Linked DNA regions of Tamandua tetradactyla. The protein of the gene in region 1 interacts with the protein of each later gene in a biochemical or structural test. Links are inferred from orthologs where the notes say so. Each region holds a gene or a part of one and is shown in the gene's direction. Other genes may lie near its edges. The genes, in order: FZD7 and DVL1.

What was found.
Region 2: the proteins of FZD7 (region 1) and DVL1 form a complex in vitro, tested with the Homo sapiens proteins (2 studies listed by BioGRID and IntAct, with this or other methods). The link is inferred for Tamandua tetradactyla from reciprocal best matches to the Homo sapiens genes FZD7 and DVL1.

What each region holds. Positions count from the first base shown.
Region 1 is NC_135329.1:176,689,035-176,698,198, forward strand, and holds the start of FZD7 (frizzled-7), read left to right. Parts: upstream 1-5,013; 5' UTR 5,014-5,841; coding exon 5,842-7,566; 3' UTR 7,567-9,164. UniProt on the Homo sapiens protein: Receptor for Wnt proteins.
Region 2 is NC_135328.1:223,548,258-223,557,341, forward strand, and holds the start of DVL1 (segment polarity protein dishevelled homolog DVL-1), read left to right. Parts: upstream 1-5,422; 5' UTR 5,423-5,459; coding exon 5,460-5,629; intron 5,630-9,084. Other genes in the region: MXRA8 (matrix remodeling-associated protein 8), read left to right, coding at 1-141, 252-353, 449-919, 1,088-1,246, 1,669-1,705, 1,798-1,874, 1,967-2,047, 2,291-2,316. UniProt on the Homo sapiens protein: Participates in Wnt signaling by binding to the cytoplasmic C-terminus of frizzled family members and transducing the Wnt signal to down-stream effectors. Plays a role both in canonical and non-canonical Wnt signaling.

The sequences.
Region 1 (9,164 bases):
TATACAGATCAGAGTTTTTTCCCCGGAGAGCTGGTTATTAAACATTTACCAGTATACCGCTTGTAAAAAATCACAACCTCAACAGAGAGCCAGAGCCATAAAATATACAGCTAACTTAGCTTTTTACTTTATCTCTGTGATGTGCATCCAAATAACCAAACCAGGATTCTGCCCTCATCACAAAGCATTTTGTAAACATTATCCCATTAATCCTCACAACATTCTGGGAGAGCTAGGGCGGTTAAGCGACTTGCCTGAGGCATCACAGGAAATCGATGGTGAAAGCAGAACTAAACCGGTCTGTACTAACCACCTCTGCAACCCTTCCTACACAACAGTACAGTACAGCATGGCACTGAAGACATGGATAACAAGTAATAACAGTGCTTTTATCACATAACCCAAATAGCCAAAGTCTCTTTCTACAGACTTATGGCCCAACATCCTGTCTTTTGAGTACAGTTTGACACTCCAGGATGGCCCACCCTCTGTACTTGGAGGTTTTTCTCCAGGGTTAGTAATGGTCTTTTATTAACCAACTTTCTCCACATTCTTTCTCTCTCTAGTCCGATGTTTAAAAAATAGGTGGCCAAAGTTAGGATTCTGTTTTCACTCTAACAGGTGCAAAGGGCATCGTAACCAGTCAACACTATGTTTTATTTGTGACCTTTTTTCTGGACTCCCCAAGGGCAGAGACTCCAGATTTGTTTCACTCTGTGGCCTCATCTCCATATTACTTTGGAAATGAATGAACAATATTTGCAGTAGGCAGTCTCTGAAATGGCTCCCGATGATCCTTGCCCTCCATGGGTTTTCACACCCTCCAGTGTGGGCAGACTTAGTGACTAGCTTCTAATGAGTAGAATAAAGCAGATATGACAAGATGTCACTTGAAAGACTAACTTACAAAAAGACTATAGCTTCCCTTCTTTTCTCTCTCTCTTTTTCTCTCTCAGCCCTTGCTCCACGGGAAGACAAATGCCTCTAGGACAGATCCACTCAGCAAGGAACTGATGTCTTTGGCCAACAGTTAGCAAGAACCTGAGGCCTGCCAACAACCCCATTATGAGTCTGGAGATGAATCCTCCTCCGACTGAGCTGTGAGGCAGTTACAACTATGACAAACACCATGACTACTGTCTTGTGAGAGACCCTAAGCCCGAAGACCCAGCTTAAGTGCACCCGTATTCCTGACACACAAATTTTGAGTTATAAATTGCTGTTTTAAGCTGTGATAAAAGAAAAGCTTTTTAACAACATGAAAATTAGGATCTTACAGCTTGAGATCTCATGAGCAACCCATGAATTAAGCAGCATCCCATCCAGAAAGTAGAGGGGAGTTCTGAACGGTAGTAGAAAGAGTAGGCTACTCTCTTTCTAGAAGAGAAGGAAGCTAGCAGTATAAATGACTCCACTGCCTTTCTCAAGAGATTATTCTTACATGGATAATGCCAAGCCAGAAGAGGGTTAGGACACACAAACTAACTGGAGATGGCAGACTATGATGGAGAGCTGAGGCTCACAGGAAACAGCAGTTAAGTTTCAGTTTACTGACATGGGGCTTTGCATGAGCAGCTCCATCTTGGTCCTATGTGCATTCTTTAAGAGCCGTTACGTTTTGGGACAGTTTGTTACATAGCAATAGATAATTAATACAACCCTTAACCAACAAGGGAGATAGTGGTCAGATTCAGTGACTAAATCTGTCATATAAGTCCTCTCTACAGGATGGGACTAACCACACCAAGTTTTAGCATGATCCTCTTCTTATTCAAGCTGGACATTTCTAAATCTCATGACATTTGAAAGTCAGTTTTAGAGACATGAATGTACCCATTTTTTTGTTTTGGAGCGAACCAGCACCCCAAACTAAAATGCACAGAAGCCAATGGCTACCTGGTAACTGGGAATTTCAAGTCCTCTATTTCATGATGTACAAATTGTTTAGTTAAAAGACAGACCAAAAAGGGAAGTATGTGCTAAAAGCTGCACATGAGTTAATTCTTGAAGCTGGAGTTTCTTTATAATCACAGTATTGTGGTGCCACAAAGATGGCCCATTTTCAAATCTGGCCTGACATTAGAATGGGTCATTCAACTAGATAAACCTGGGATCTGGCCAAAATACATAGCATTTAAAAATTTAAGCTAATCAATAGCATCACTTTTCTGTGGGACCACATGCCTATGGAATGAAGAAATAAGACTTTTGTTGTTTTGAAGGGCAGGTACAATTGGAAGTTTTGGATCAGACAGTTTCAAAATTTCCCACCCTCAGCTCTAAGATACCAGTTAGTGGCTTTGGGAACTGGGTGGGGAAGATGTTGCTCGGAAAACATTAAATTGGCCCTGGACAGAATGTAAACCGGCATTATTACATTTATCATAAGCTTAACGGTTATTTAATCCTCTATGCTGTGCACTTTTTCTGATTTGCTCCCTTTTATTACTTAGCTTCTTGAAATCATAGCATTCTTTAACAGTAAAGTGTAGAAGGCTACGGTATCCTTCTCACAAACAGCAATTTCTCATTTTCCAGAATAATTTTTGAATTTTTAAAATATCACCTTAAAAAAAAACCTAAAACATTCTCCAAAACGTTTGTCTTTGTTTCTCTGCTTTTGCAATTTATTGCCTAGGACACAGCAAGAGTTCTCACATCTGTGGCACTTTCCATCTGGGATCAGTTTTCTATATCCTTCTGCATAGATTGTTTTAAAAATATTTCATTCATTCCTTGTATTTTTTTTTAAAGGCTCTCTCTTTTTCTTTCCAAATTATCATCCCTATTACCTAACATCAGGGAACCGTCTGGAACTATAATATGAGGAGTAGAAGTTGTGTTTGAGACTCGGTATTTTTTCCTGTTGGTTTTCATCTTATTTGATAGTACTTGCTATTTCTTCCTCAATAAGCAAAGATGACTTAAATCAGCAGCCTGATGAATAAGTATGAAATTTGATTTAGAAAAGGAGGGTATCCTGAAGCTCACAGAGAAAAAGGAATTTCCAAAGCCCCATTCACTCTATCCCCCACCACACACATTTTAAATGACAAAACAAAACAACAGCATTGTCTTTAAGCACTATCTTTCAATGCAGTATCAATGCTTCCAGAGGTAAGGTAATTAAGGTAATAGGAATAATCATTTAGAAAGAAGGAGAGCTCTTAAAAACTGTACAAGGGAGGAATGAAACATTTCAAAGCAAATATTACTCCTTCCTATTACCTTGAGACAGATACACCAACAGGAAAAAAAAAAAATTACCAGCCCAGGCATGAGAGAGAAAGCTGAGGCCCAGGAGGAATAAAGATGTGGCTTTCCACTGAGGGCGGGAAGGAGGATGCAAGCAGTAGGACACCCCTACCTCTGCCCAAAGCTTTCCCGCCACTAGATGCATAAACAGGAGGGCGAGTGAAAAACCGCAAAGAACTGTGAAAGAAAGATTTTCAGTACATATCAATAATACAGAACACATAAAAGAAAAACAGAGAAACTCATAGTCTCCTATAGAAGAGAACCCAATTAATTGTCTTAGATTTCAAAATTGTGGTTTTTTACTTTTTCTTTTTTTCCTTCTTTCTGGAGAAAGCTTGGAAGCAGCAGCAGCAGCACCAGGGGCAGCAGAGGCAAGAACTTCTGCAATCCCTCAACCTGATCAGAAATCCCTGAGAGCTCCAGCACTGGAAACTGAGACTAGCAGAAAGGGCTCCGCCAAGAGTGAAGTGTTTTTGTTTGTTCGTTTTTTAAAGAATTGCTCTGTTTGTGTTTGTGTGTGTGTGAGAGAGAGAGAGAGAGAGAGAGAAATTGATTTTTCTTTTCCTTCTCAATTTGTCATTTTCCTGGATGGAAATTCACGATAATCCTCGCTAGAAGCCCCCAGGTAATTTGCGGCCTGGTCCTGAATAACTCGAGAGCGCGCGCGAGCTCCCAGCGCCTCGAGCTGGGCGAAGATTTGAGAACAAAAGAATGTTTGCCAATCAGAAAACGATACGAACGAAGATGACTCCTCTTTGTGTTTTGAAAACTCCTTAATTAGTAAATGGCCCTGGTTTCTAGTACACACTCAAACTTTTCTACGCAGTTTCCAAATGGAGAATCAAATAATTGCTTCTGCGACAAAAATGGGATCCTGAATGGTCTTACGCCGCAGAACTAAGGAAACAGGGCAACAGAAGTCGCGCTGTAAATCGTAGAGTGTTCTTGGGCTCTCGGTCTCGGGATACTTTCATAACCATTTATCCCACATACTAAAGCTTCCCCAGCTCCCCAGACGCAGGCCGCGCGCGCGGTCGGGGTGGCCCGGAGTCGAGGTATCCCGCGCCCCCTGCTCCTGGGTCCTCTCCCCTCGGAAGGGTCTGCATTTCCTCCCGCCTTAAGTCCGGCCGCTCCGCCCCATTCTGCTTTCTCCTCCGAGGCTGCTACCCCTCCTTTTTACAACTGGGGGGGGGGGGGCGTGAGAGGGCCTCACAGCCTCACGTGGTCTATTTGGGTCTAAGGAGAGAAAAGACCACAAGACGCACCCCTTTTCCCGCCCCGATCCGAATCCCTCACTTAGGATTCGGCTACTCGCTCTTCTGAGCTCGGGCAGGGCTAACGTGACTACAGGTCACGTCTCTCTTCGGTTGAGGCGCTGCGCTATTTTCAGCTTCTCCCCGCAAAAGCCTTTCCGAATGCACCCTTCTGTTCAGGAATGTGCATTTTGGTGTACCCAGAATAAGAACCTATCTTTCAAGCAAATTCCCTTTCTGGTGCGTTTTCCCCCCAGAGCGAATTCAGGGTACAAGTTTTTTCTAACTTTTCCGTCTCACCCCCTACCCCTCCCCTCAGGAATCCGCCCAAAGCTCTGCAGACTCCGCCGGCCCAATTCCCTTGCCCGCCCCTTCCGACTTCTACCCAATGCGGAGGCGGCAATAGAGAAAACAAAGGCCATCATTGGGCCACCCTGGGGCTCGGGTCCGCCCCCGGAGTGGTTTGTGAATGGGGGGAGGGGAAGGGGCGGGGCGGCCCGGGTCTCTCCAAGCCCAACGCCTCTTCTGCGGAGTTGCGCGGCTCCGAGGCGTTACTCGACACTCTCTCCTGGGGCGCGGGGTGGCGGCTGCTGAAGCCAGGACTCGCGAGCTAGGGTTCTGCGGGACTGGAGAGGCTGGGCCCAGACTGCGAGGTCTCTCAGCAGTGTAACTGGATTTCCAAAAAGAACTCGCTGAGTTCTTGGCTGAAAGGCGCAGATCGGACTCACAGCGAAAATAAGGCGCTTGGCTGAAACTTGGGCCCGAGCTTTTGGGGCTGAAGAAGAAACGGGGAGTGGAGGAGGAGGCGGCGAGCAGAGCCTCGAGGCGAGGGGGCGGAGCAGTACCGCCGAGGCTGCAGCCGGGGCTACCAGGCGGCGGCGCCGGGCTCTCGCTTGGCGAGGGACAGACTTGGTGTGGGGGGCGTGCGCATTATTGTGCACTGGGGGTCGAGAGACTTGGGCAAACTTTGAAAGACAACCGGAGACGCTTGTTGCTCCTTGTCTCAGAGAAAGGCGCACCGTTACGTCTTGGCCGGGAGGGGAAAACTGTTCCCCTCCGCGCCCCTGGCTCCAGCGGACGAGTTTTGGGGCCCCGGAGGCGGCGTGAGTCGGTGGAGGCGGTTGCGGCGCCCGGGTGGCTGGCGATCTCGCCTCCGCCGCGCAGACAACGAGGCGGCAGCGCCCTTGCCTCCACGCTGCCCACAGCCGGGCCCCGGCGCCGGGAGGACTCTCATGCGCCCGGCGCGGCGGCGCCTCTCGGGATCCAAGCCTGTCTCAGCCGCCTAGTCGCGCTCCTTGGGCTGAGAGCGTCGCTGCTCCAGCTGCCGGAGATGCGGGGTCCCGGCGCGGCGGCGTCCTGCTCATCCCTGGGTCTGTGCGCCCTGGTGCTGGCACTGGTGGGCGCGTTGCCCGCGGGCGCCGGGGCGCAACCGTACCATGGCGAGAAGGGCATCTCGGTGCCGGACCACGGCTTCTGCCAGCCCATCTCCATCCCGCTGTGCACGGATATCGCCTACAACCAGACCATCCTGCCCAACCTGCTAGGTCACACGAATCAAGAGGACGCGGGCCTTGAGGTGCACCAGTTCTACCCTCTGGTGAAGGTGCAGTGCTCGCCCGAGTTGCGCTTCTTCCTATGCTCCATGTACGCGCCTGTGTGCACCGTGCTGGAGCAGGCCATCCCGCCGTGCCGCTCCTTGTGCGAGCGCGCCCGCCAGGGCTGTGAGGCGCTCATGAACAAGTTCGGCTTCCAGTGGCCGGAGAGGCTGCGCTGCGAGAACTTCCCGGTGCACGGAGCCGGCGAGATCTGCGTGGGCCAAAACACCTCCGACGGCTCGGGAGGCCCCGGCGGCGGCCCCACAGCCTACCCCACCGCGCCCTACCTGCCGGATTTACCCTTCACTGCGCTGCCCCCGGGGGGCGCAGACGGCAGGGACCGCTTGGGTTTCCCCTTCTCGTGTCCCCGCCAGCTCAAGGTGCCCCCTTATCTGGGATACCGCTTCCTGGGCGAGCGCGACTGCGGCGCCCCGTGCGAGCCGGGTCGAGCAAACGGCCTCATGTACTTTAAGGAGGAGGAGAGGCGCTTCGCCCGCCTCTGGGTGGGCGTGTGGTCGGTCCTGTGCTGCGCCTCGACGCTCTTCACCGTGCTCACCTACCTGGTGGACATGCGGCGCTTCAGCTACCCTGAGCGGCCCATCATCTTCCTGTCGGGCTGCTACTTCATGGTGGCGGTGGCGCACGTGGCCGGCTTCCTGCTGGAGGACCGCGCTGTGTGCGTGGAGCGCTTCTCGGACGATGGCTACCGCACGGTGGCGCAGGGCACCAAGAAGGAGGGCTGCACCATTCTCTTCATGGTGCTCTACTTCTTCGGCATGGCCAGCTCCATCTGGTGGGTCATCCTGTCGCTCACCTGGTTCCTGGCGGCCGGCATGAAGTGGGGCCATGAAGCCATCGAGGCCAACTCGCAGTACTTCCACCTGGCCGCGTGGGCCGTGCCCGCCGTCAAGACCATCACTATCCTGGCCATGGGCCAGGTGGACGGGGACCTGCTCAGCGGGGTGTGCTACGTGGGCCTGTCGAGCGTGGACGCACTGCGGGGCTTCGTGCTGGCACCCCTGTTTGTCTACCTCTTCATCGGTACGTCCTTCTTGCTGGCGGGCTTCGTGTCTCTCTTCCGCATCCGCACCATCATGAAGCACGACGGCACCAAGACCGAGAAGCTGGAGAAGCTGATGGTGCGCATCGGCGTCTTCAGCGTGCTCTACACGGTGCCAGCTACCATCGTGCTGGCTTGCTACTTCTACGAGCAGGCCTTCCGCGAGCATTGGGAGCGCACCTGGCTCCTGCAGACGTGCAAGAGCTACGCGGTGCCGTGTCCTCCCGGCCACTTCCCGCCCATGAGCCCCGACTTCACCGTCTTCATGATCAAGTACCTGATGACCATGATCGTAGGGATCACCACCGGTTTCTGGATCTGGTCCGGCAAGACCCTGCAGTCGTGGCGCCGCTTCTACCACAGGTTCAGCCACAGCAGCAAGGGGGAGACTGCGGTATGAGCCCCGGCAGCTCCCGGAGTGAGCCCCCACCCCCTTGCAAGGGGGAGAGACGCGGTAGGGAAACAAATAATGAGGGGGGAGCGTTTCTGTAACCTCCCACCCTCCGCTGAGAGAAGTGACCTGGAGGAGAGAAGTTTGGAGATTTGAGGCGAGGGGTGGGTTTGGAAAGGAGGCCTGGGTGAAAAGACTTCTGGCAAAGACTTGCAGGATAATACTAAATAATGAGAGTCTTAATTAGGTAAGGTATGGGCAGACTTGGGCCTATCGAGACAGTTGAGACCAACAGAGACTGCCCTACTTTCCTCCTGGTTCAGGGGCTGAACTGGGGCTGTGAGCGATTCCTCTGCTGTAAGGAAAGTGGCCTGTCTCCACTCCTGTGAGGCCCTGGTGAAAGGTACAGCGCTGTCTGCAGCGGCCGCTTTGTTGGGGACAGGGAGGACTCCCCGCGGTGTTCTTGTCAAGCGGTGGTCAAACCATAATCTCTTTTCACTGGGGCCAAACTGGAGCCCAGATGGGTTAATTTCCAGGGTCAGACATTACAGTGTCTCCTCCCTTACCCCCCTCTGGCCTGTTTTTCCTCCTCTTCTCCTTTCAAGTCTTATAAGCATTGGCAAGTCTAGGGAGGCATGCCTCCTAGAATCCTAATGTGAAGATGCAAAAGAAATAGTGATAACATTTCTAGATGAGGCTAAGGAAAGGAGTAGTAGGTATTTCTGCTGCTTTTTAATTTTCTGGGAAGGCAGGAGAAAGAAAGAAGTGTGTTTTGTTTGGTTTCATACCCTGAAAAGAAGTGATGACTTGTTGCTTTTTCTAAACAGGAATGCATTTTTTACCCTTGTCTTTGTTGTAAGAGACAAAAGAGGAAACAAAAGTGTCTCCCTGTGGAAAGGTGTAACTGTGAAAGACAGCAACTCTTACAGGCAAAGTAGCGCAAATCGGAGGTTTCCCTTTGGATGTTAATTTGGTTGAGATAAACATTCCTTTTTAAGGAAAAGTGAAGGGCAGCATGCTTTCGTGCCCAGTTCAGTCAGAGGTTTTCTGACTTGGCTGAAGGAAATGCAAGGGGTTTTGTTGTTGTGTTTGTTTTAAATAAATTTAATTCAGAACACATGATCAAACAGGCTGGGTCGGTTAACATGTTCAGGGAAATCGCTCCTTTTTTTCTTTTGTAAGGCTGTGTTTAGGGTTTGTGTTTTTTTTTTCTCCATTTAGAAACCTTCAAGATGAAAGGAAAGCACAATGCCCTCAGCCTCATAATAAAGGAAATTTTTTTTTAAAGTAAAGAACCATTTTGTCCTGTTTTCTTAATTTCATAAATCTATTTATGAAACATCATGTGTATACTGACCCTGTCTTTTGTGTATTTGGGTAGGGACATGATCTACAGAGATAATAGTGAATGAAGAGGAAAGTTTCAACTGTGGGCCCCATTTTTAAGGAAACTCATTAAAAGAAGGTAAACTTCAAAGTAATTCTGGAGTTCTTTGAAATGTGCTGGATGACTTAAATTTATTAATCTTAAATCATGTACTTTTTTTTCTATAATAGAACTCTTGATTCTTTTGCATAATGTTCTAAAACTGAGCAAAGAATCATTG
Region 2 (9,084 bases), on another chromosome or scaffold:
TCAGTGGCGGCTTGGGCCCCGCCCGCAGACTGGTGGACATGTACTCGGCTGGGGAACAGCGCGTGGAGCCTCGCTACCGCGGCCGCCTCCTCCTGTCGCCCTCCGCCTTCCACGACGGCAACTTCTCGCTGCTCATCCGCGGTACGGGGGCCTGGGACGCAGGGCCCCGGGGACCAGCGGATTCCGGTCGCGGGCGGGTGCCGAGCACCGCATGGCGGGCTTACGTCGCGGGTTTTCTCCCGGGTCTGCAGCGGTGGAGGAGACGGACGAGGGGCTGTACACCTGCAACCTGCACCACCATTACTGCCACCTCTACGAGAGCCTAGCCATCCGCCTCGAGGTCACCGACGACCGTGAGCGTGCCCGCCCCTCTTCCCCGTGCCCACCCGCCCCCGCCGCCCTGGAGGCTGCCCGGCCTCGACCGTGACCTCCCCGCCACTCCCTGCAGCCCTGGCCGCCGGCGCGCGCTGGGACGGCGAGAAGGAGGTCCTGGCGGTGCAGCGCGGCGCATCGGCGCTTCTGACCTGCGTGAACCGTGCACACGTGTGGACCGACCGGCACGTGGAGGAGGCGCAGCAGGTGGCGCACTGGGACCGGCAGCCGCCGGGGGTGCCGCACGACCGCGCCGACCGCCTGCTCGACCTGTACGCGTCCGGCGAGCGCCGCGCCTACGGGCCGCCCCTCCTGCACGCGCGCATGGCGGTGGGCGCCGACGCCTTCGCGCGCGGCGACTTCTCGCTGCACATCGACCCTCTGGAGCCAGCGGACGAGGGCACCTACTCCTGCCACCTGCATCACCACTACTGCGGCCTGCACGAGCGCCGCGTCTTCCACCTGAGCGTCGCCCAGCCCGCCGCCGACCCGCCGCCGCGGACCCGGCCCGGCAACGGCTCCAGCCACAGCGGCGCCTCGGGCCCAGGTACGGTGCCGCTCTGGGGACCCTGGGCCTGGGGCCGGGCACCCGGGACGCCGGTCTGGAGGGGCGGCTCCGGGTCCCGCTCCCCGGCCTCGGAGCCGGCCCGTCGGGGGCCTCAGGAGGGCGTCCCGCCGCGGCCGCCCCTGACGCAGCCCCTGCTCCGCCCCGCAGACCCCACCCTGGCGCGCGGCCGCAGCGTCATCAACGTTATCGTGCCAGAGGGTCGGGCCCACTTCTTCCAGCAGCTAGGCTACGTGCTGGCCACGCTGCTGCTCTTTATCCTGCTGCTCATCACCGTCGCCCTGGCCACCCGCAGGCGCCGCCGTGGAGGTGAGGGCCAGGCCCGGGGGCGAGGGTCGGGTCCCCGGGGGTGAGGGTCGGGCCCCCGGAGGTGAAGGTCGGGTCCCCGGAGGTGAAGGTCTGGCGCCCGGGAGCGAGGGTCGGGCGCCCGGAGGTGAAGGTCAGGTGTCCGGAGGTGAGGGTGGGGCCCTGGGGGTGAGGGCTGGGCACTGGGGGGGTGAGGGCTGCCCTGCAGAGGTGAGGGCTGGGCACCGCACCCAACTCCGGAGCGCAGGGACTGCTCACAGCAGAGACTGAGGGTAGAAAGAGGGAGGACGTGCCGTCCAGAGGTGGGTCTTGGGGCACTGCAACCCTTGTGTTCACTGGTGGGCGGCTGGGAGCTCCCTGGGTTAGATGAGAGGGCTGCTAGGAGTGTGTGTGTGTGACTGTCCCCAACCTGTCTCCCTCCCCAGGCTATGAATACACAGAGAAGTCAGGGAAGTCCAAGGGGTGAGTGCGCGTGCGACCTCTGGGCTGGCCCTGGGACCAGATCCTCTTCCATCCCCACCACTCTCACCTCCCCCCACGGTTCTCTCTTCCAGGAAGGATGTGAACCTGGCCGAGCTGGCTGTGGCCACCGGGGACCAGGGTTTTTACAGGAGTGAGGAGATTCAACTGGGTGAGGGTGGGCCGCAGGGCTCTCAGGCTCGGGTGTTAGAGGCCCTTCTCGGGGTAGGTGGGGGTCTCACACTGCTTCTGTCCCCACACCAGATTACAAAAACAACATCCTGAAGGAGAGGGCTGAGCTGGCCCATGGCCCCCTGCCCGCCAAGCACATTGACTTGGACAAAGGTGAGTGGCTGTAGGGGGCCCCTCCCTGCCTGTCCCTTCCATTTCCAAGTCCAGATGCAGCCCCACTCCACCCCTTCCCAGGGCTCCCTGAAATCACCACACTCAACCAGCCGCATGGTCAGGAGACCCCTGTCACCGCTGTGCTCCAGGCTTGGGGAAGTCCTGCTGAGTATCTGCCCTGAGTAATCCACTGAGAGGGAGGCGGAAAGAGCAGATCCCAGCCTGTGTTCCCTTGATTTGCAGAGTTCAGGAAGGAATACTGCAAATAAGTGATCCTAGGCTCCTGGCTGGGCCAGAAGCTCTGCCAACTTCTCTCTGTCCACCTCAGAGGACGTTCTACCAACCCTCAGGTGCTTGGTGCCACCTGGATCCCCTCCAGCGGCTGGTCCCGCTTTCCTGGAACTCGGCCTGGACTGTTGCAGAGTGGGGCTACCTTCAGACCCCTTTCCAGTAGACCCACTAATCCTTTTAAGCAGGGGTGGGCTCCCTGAGACTCTCAGCCAGCATGTGGCTACTGCCCCTTCAGCCAGCCCTTGCTGGCTCCTGTGCTCACTGGTGGCCCTGCCCTGCCCCCTGGCCAACTTCCTTGGCACAGTCGAGACTCTGCCAGTGTTCACCAGGCCCTCTGCCCTCCTGGCCTCTGCTTGCAGGGGGCTGGGAAGCCTGCCTCCCCAGGGCTGTGGCAGGAAAGGCGCTCTTGGAGGGGCTCAGCAGAGATTGCAGGGGGTCAGCCCCAGGGCTAGCACCCTAAGCTCCTGCAGGAGAGCTGCCTGCTGCAGCCTGAGGTTGTGAGGATGCCTTGAGACTGGGTTACTCCAAACCCCAGCTGGGCTGCACCCTGCCCTGCACGAGGTCTGAGGACCAGCACTCTCCAGGCCCAGGGCTAAGGCCCCTCTGTGCTGCTCTGGGCCAGCTGGGGCTGCCCTGTTGCCCCTTCCTTTGCTTTCAGCGTGACTCAGCCCTGTTTCCAGTGAGCTGCCTCGACAGTCACCCGATTCTGTATGACTTTTGACCCTGACCATGTCCCTGCACCTCCCTGGGCTGGCGTCTGGGGCTGGGGCCACATTGGCTTCTGCTTTTGGTTGAGGACAGGGGAGGGGTGAAGATGGTTCTGGGGTGGCACCTGTCACCACGCCCAGCGCTCCACGTTTGCTTCTGGAGAACTGCCGCTGTCACAATAAAGTCCACGTCTGGTTTCAGAGCCTGGTCCCAGGTGGGCCTTGCAGCTGCCCCTCTGTCTCCTGTGGGCCGAACCTCAGCACCTTCACCTGCACTGTCACCCCGAGCCCTGGAGCAGAGGGTTTGGGTCTGGCTAGTGTTCAGAACACTGGGAACAGCGACACTGGAGACAGATTCTCGCACAAGGGCTTATTTGCACATGGGGGAGGGGAACATTGTGGTAGGATGAGGGCAGCTGCATGAGTACAAGTCCTCCAAACACACGCTGAGATGAGATGTGCAAGGAGGCAGAGGCAGGAGCAGGCAAGATCTTCACAGCGGGAAGCTGGACTGTCACCTGGGAGAGACAGGTGGGGAGGTGGTGTAAGCGGGAGGAGACCCAGCCTGCAGCGGCCCCCGGCAAAAAGCCAGCTGTTTGGATGTGGCCTTTGTGACTTATCACCTTCATTCTCTCTCCCAGGAGAGCAGGGGCTGGGGAAGGGTGACCGCACAATAGCAAAGGTGGGCAGGAAAGGGAGCTACGGTTCGTTGGACGAGGCAGCTCCCCCCAGCCCATGGTGACCTTGGGCTCACCATGGCTGCACTGTGGCCGGATGAGGGCCGCCCCGCAGGGCCCCTCCCCACTAATGCCCCCAGGGCTCCGCTGCCAGCCTCTCCAGCTGCCTCATGACTTGGGCTGAGGGTAAGGTAGGAGAGGAAGGCCTCAGGGACTGGAGGACAGAGACCCCTCCTCTGGTTGTATGCTGCTGGCTCCCCCTGACCGGCCACAGCCGGGCTGTCCTGGAGGGTGCCATCCCCCAGGGGGCATCAAGGCCATCTTCTTTCTTCCTGGGGAACCCAGCAGACAGTCATGGCAGACTCCCCAGCAGTCACGCTGCATGGCTTCCTCGGTCTACCACTGGGGAAACCGAGTCCTCAGGTGCCAAGCTGGCAGAGGCCGCCTCCAGCAGAGCCCTGCCCACTCACTCCATCACAGCTGAGAGCCACGGGAGTCGGGACCCTAACCTAGGCTGCCCTGGGGGTGTTCCCAGCCTAACCACTCAGGCCACAGTTGGACTGCTGGGGTCTTTCCCCAGAGTGCCCCAGCCTCCAGGCGGGGTGGGGATGGGGCAAGGCTGGTCTGGGTGGTCACCAGGGGTGATCAGCATCGCATGCTCTGCCCGCGGCCTGGGGTCTTCCTCCTGCCTGGCCAGCCTAGGACGCCCCTAGTGGCCTCGCGGCCTCCCTTCCCAGCGTCCGCCAAACATCTGTGCCCAAGTGGGAGAGGGCGCTCCCCTGCTAGCGCTGAGCCCCGCTGTCCCCTCCAGCGGCCACCCAGACACGCGCTCACAAAGGCAGCAAGCGTCCCCGCAGGCGCCCGCGACCACTCTGGGCCTAGGCTTCTCAGATCTCCCGTGGGACCAGACAGAAGACGCGGGAGCGCGGAGCGGGCATGGGGCGAGAGGTGACCGAGGACCCTAACCCCAGCCGGGGCGCAGGACATCCTCGGCCTCACGCCCGGCCCTGCAGCCGGCCCCGGTGCCCCGGGCGCTTCCGGGCTCTGAGCGCCCACGGACGCTGGGAGTCCTCGGGAGGGGAGGAGGGTCGAGACCTCCGACCAGGCGATTTCGCGGCGACTCCCCAAGCTCCCGGCGGCGGGGACTCCCTTCTGACAGCTGGGGCGGGGGCGGAGCCAGTCGAGGCCCCGCCCACCGGCCCAACCCGGCGAGGCCCGCGCGGAGAGTCGGGCCAGCGAGTGCGCGCGCGTCCCGGGAGAGGGGCGGGGCCGGTGAGCACACCCCACCCCTGCCAGCCCCGCGCCTGCGCAGCCCCTCCCCCGCGGGCTCGGTGACGTCGTCCCCCCCACCCACCCTCAGCGCTCTCGGGCGCCCCCGGCGGCTCCCGCTCGGGCCTCGGGCCGGCCCTTTAACTGCGCGCGGCCCGAGGGGGCGGCGGCGGCGGCGGCGCGGGGCGGGGCGCGCGGGGCGGGCGCGGCAGCCGGACGCACGGACGCGCGGGGGGCGGCCCGACGGGCGAGCGCGCCCCTCCCGCTGCTCCCCTCGCGCCCGCGGCCCCGGCGGCCGGGGGCGGATGGGCGGGCGCGGGCCGCGGGGCAGCAGCCGGGGCCGGAGCGGGAGCCGGGGCCGCGGGCCGGGCCGGGGCGGCCGGGCGGGGCCGGGAGGAGGCGGCGCGGCGGGCGGGCGGGCGGGGCGCAGGCCGGCGGGGGGGCGCGCCCCGAGCCCCGGGCCGCGGCATGGCGGAGACCAAGATCATCTACCACCTGGATGAGGAGGAGACGCCGTACCTGGTCAAGCTGCCCGTGGCCCCCGAGCGCGTCACGCTGGCCGACTTCAAGAACGTGCTCAGCAACCGGCCGGTGCACGCCTACAAATTCTTCTTCAAGTCCATGGACCAGGACTTCGGGTCAGTCCCCGCGCGGCCGCTCTTCCGGGGTCGGGGGCGGCGCGCATCGCGGCACCTGTCTGCGCCGCGCAGGGCCGCGGGCTCTGGGGCCTGTGCGCTGCCCCAGCGCCCCGGGTCCCGGCCTGCTGCCCCTGCTGCCGGCCACTCTGCGGGTGCCCACCTGCCTGTGCCTAGGAGCCTGGCAGCTCCAGACCGGGGCCGGGGGAGGGTCCCTGCCTCCCCATCGTGGTGTGCCCCCGCGCACCTGACCTACTGTCAGGCCTGTGGCCCAGGAGCAGCCTCTCCGCAGCCCGGCCCTGTCTAGGCCCAGGCTCGGGGCTGGGGGGGGGCGGAGCTGCAGGGCTGGCCTGCAGGGTGTGTGGTTCACAGAGGTGGGTTGGGGTGTCAGGGTGGAGGGACCTTGGGGTGGGGACAGAGACTGGTCAGGGTAGGAAAGCAGGGTGGGCCAGGACAGGGGTCTGTCTTTTGGGGTCTACAGAAGTTTCCAGGGGCCTGACAGGCAAGAGTCACTGGGAACCCGGGTGTCAGTCTGTCCACTCCTGCCCTGGGGTTCCTGGCTGTAGGGCCTCTGTCCCTGCTGAGCCACCTGGGGCACCTGCGGGCCTGGGCAGCACCTGGTCTCGGCCTGACTGTCCTGGGCAAGGGGACCTGTGCACTGCACAGGGCTGGGTGGCCAGGATGGTGAGCAGGAGGCTGGCTGGCTACCGAGGCCTGACCCAGCACGGCTCGTAACCCGAGTCCCAGTGCGGGGAGGGCGGGGTGGCTCTCACTGGCCTTGCTGGCTGGAGCAGGTGCACCCTGGCCACCCTCAGGCGAGCCTGTGCCCTTGTGTGCCTCCGTGTCCTGGGTCTTTGACATTGAAGCTGTTTTCTGGACTCTGGTTTGCACGTGCAGGCCCAGGTCAGGCCAGGCCCAGGCCCGGGGCAGCTCTCAGGACTGGGGGGCAAGGAGAGCGGGGGTGGGGCACCCCTGGCCGCCTCTGAAGGCCGAGTGCCCCCAGGTCTTCCTGGCTGGGGTTCCTTGGGATGGGGTGGGGAGAGGGGGGCTGTAGGGATGGGGAGGGGCAGGAGGCGAGCCTGTGGCAGGCTGGCCTGGAGGTTCCAGGCGTAGGGGTTTGGTAGGTGGTTGTGCAGGGAGGGTGTCACCTTGGGGGAGGGTGATTGAGGCAGGGAGGGGAAGGGGCAGGGGGCTTGGGGGCTTAGGGACGCCAGTTACTGTGTTCGTGGGCACAGGTGTTTTGACGGCCACCTGTGTTCGTGGGGCTGCGGGGCAGGGGTTGAGTGCTTGGGCCGAGCGCTCCCTCTGCCCTCCCCAGCTGTGCCCGGCAGGTACCAAGAAGGGGATTCAGAGAGAGTCAGTTTGTGGTCTACGGGGTGGGATCCTGGGGTGGCCAGGCCAGTCAGGAGTGAGGAGTGGGTGCTGGCTAGCTGCAGGGAGCAGGCCATGCCAAGGCTCCGTGGGGGCTGAGGACCCCTGGGCTTGCCAAGGCAGTTCCTAGGTATGGGGTGGGGCTTGTGCAGGTAACTTCTGACGGGGGTGGGGGGCCAAAGAACCCCAGACTCATGTAGGCAGCGCCTGGAGGTGGGTGGAGTCTGAGAAGCCCTGGCATGCAGGGTGCTCTTTGAGAGCTGCGGGCCACCCCGTCCTCCCGCTTGCCAGCCTGTGTCCTGTCCTTCGCGGGCTGGACAAGCGGTGTGGTGGGGGGTCCTGGGCCTCTAGGGGCGCTGTTGGGGTGTCCCTCTGGGGTCTGGCCTGGGCTGAGCTGCTTCCAGGAGCAGTGCCTCAGCCTCCCAGAGCAGATTCCTGGCTGGGGCGGGGCTGTGGGGGTGGTGGGTGGGGCCACAGTCTAAGTCCCAGGTGACCGGGACCGTGCCAAGAATCGTGAGGCAGGTGGGGGGGGGCCCTTGCAGGGCACCTGTGGCCTATGGAGACGGAGTCCATTCCCCTGCCCAGAGGCCCAGCCCCACAGTGGCAGAGTTGGACGATGAGCCCCCACCTGTGGCCTCCTCCACCCCCAGATCTCGTTCCATCCTTGGAACTGTCAGCAAAGCTGTGCCTTGCTGGCTCCAATAGAGAGCCCTGTGTGGGACTCTGGCCTTTGGGCCCTCTTGGGGGCAGGGGCAAGCGCTGGCCACGGAGTTCCAGGCCATCTCTGCCACCTTCCTCCCGTTGTCTTGGCACCCTGTCACATCCTCTGGGCCTCACCAGGCGGGTCACTGGGGTGCCCACCATGCTGCGGCCTCTGGTGGCTGGCGGGGAAGTGGTCGTGCAGGGGGGTGATGACTCCAGAGAAGGGAGGGGTGGCCCACAGGGATGGGGTGAGCAGGCGCTGGGGGCGGGGTTGTCTCCAGGGAGGCTCGTGCTTAGCCCTCGGGGCCTCTGGTGTGCTCGCTGGGGGACCTGTTGTGGTTCAGCGGGAGCGGGGCGCTGGGTGGGCACCTGTGTCTTGCCAGGGGCCTTGTGGGGTTGACGGTTTGTGCCCGGGGGCTGGCCCAGCCCTGGGAGACAACTGGGGGCAGCCATGGGAGCCTGGGATGGTGCCTCCTTGCTGGCCTCTCTATTGCGTGTGCTTCAGGAGGGGCTGTGGCCCTTGTCCATCTGCCGCTGGTGTCCAGACCAGAGGTGCTTCCTGTCAGGTGTGCTCCCGGCCCTACCGGGCTCCCACTTCTCCACCAGACACAGTCCTGGGCGTGGACAATTGTGCTGGGCCCTGCATCCTATGCCTGGCCTCCCTCTTTTCTCGTTGGAGTGGCTCAGGCTCTCCCCCCAACAGCCCGCTGACACCCGCTGACACCCCTGATGGGGTGAGCGTCTAGATGGTGGCTTGTGCAGGTGGCTGGAGGGGTGCTGGCCCAGTTGGCTGTGTCCTGCCACCTCCAGGGTCGGGGGTACCCTCAGAGTGGGGACTGGCCCAGCGGGGGGGGGGGTGTGTGGTTTGCACCTGCTGCCCTGGTGGGAGGGTGGGTGCTGCCTCGGCCTGTGCCTGGGAGGGTCTGCTATGCACCCACACAGTTCTGGGGAACCGCTGGCACCCTCCTGGCACCTCAGGCCTGTGGGACACAGGGACATGGAGCCAGGCAGATGGACGCATCACGTGGTGCTGTGCTGTAGTGTTGAGTGGGGGTGCTGTTTGTTTTAGGGGTGTTTGAGTGCAGCCCTGAAGAAGAGGGAAGGAGGTGGGGACCAGCCCTGGCTGGGGGTGTGAGGGCCCTGCCAGGTGGGTGGTCTGAGTGCAGAGGGACATGGCAGGGTCGGACCTGGGTAGGGCAGGGAGCTGCTGAGAAGGACAGGTCTGGGGAGGGGGTGGGTTTGGGGTGTGGGACCTGAGGAGCTGAGCCTGACCCCTGAGCTCCCGGAGGGTGGGGCCTGTCAGAGAGGGGCAGTGGGTGTCCAGAGGCTTGGTGGGGTGGTGAGGTGCGCATTGGAGCCTCATGGGGGTCTGGGCAGGAGAGGAA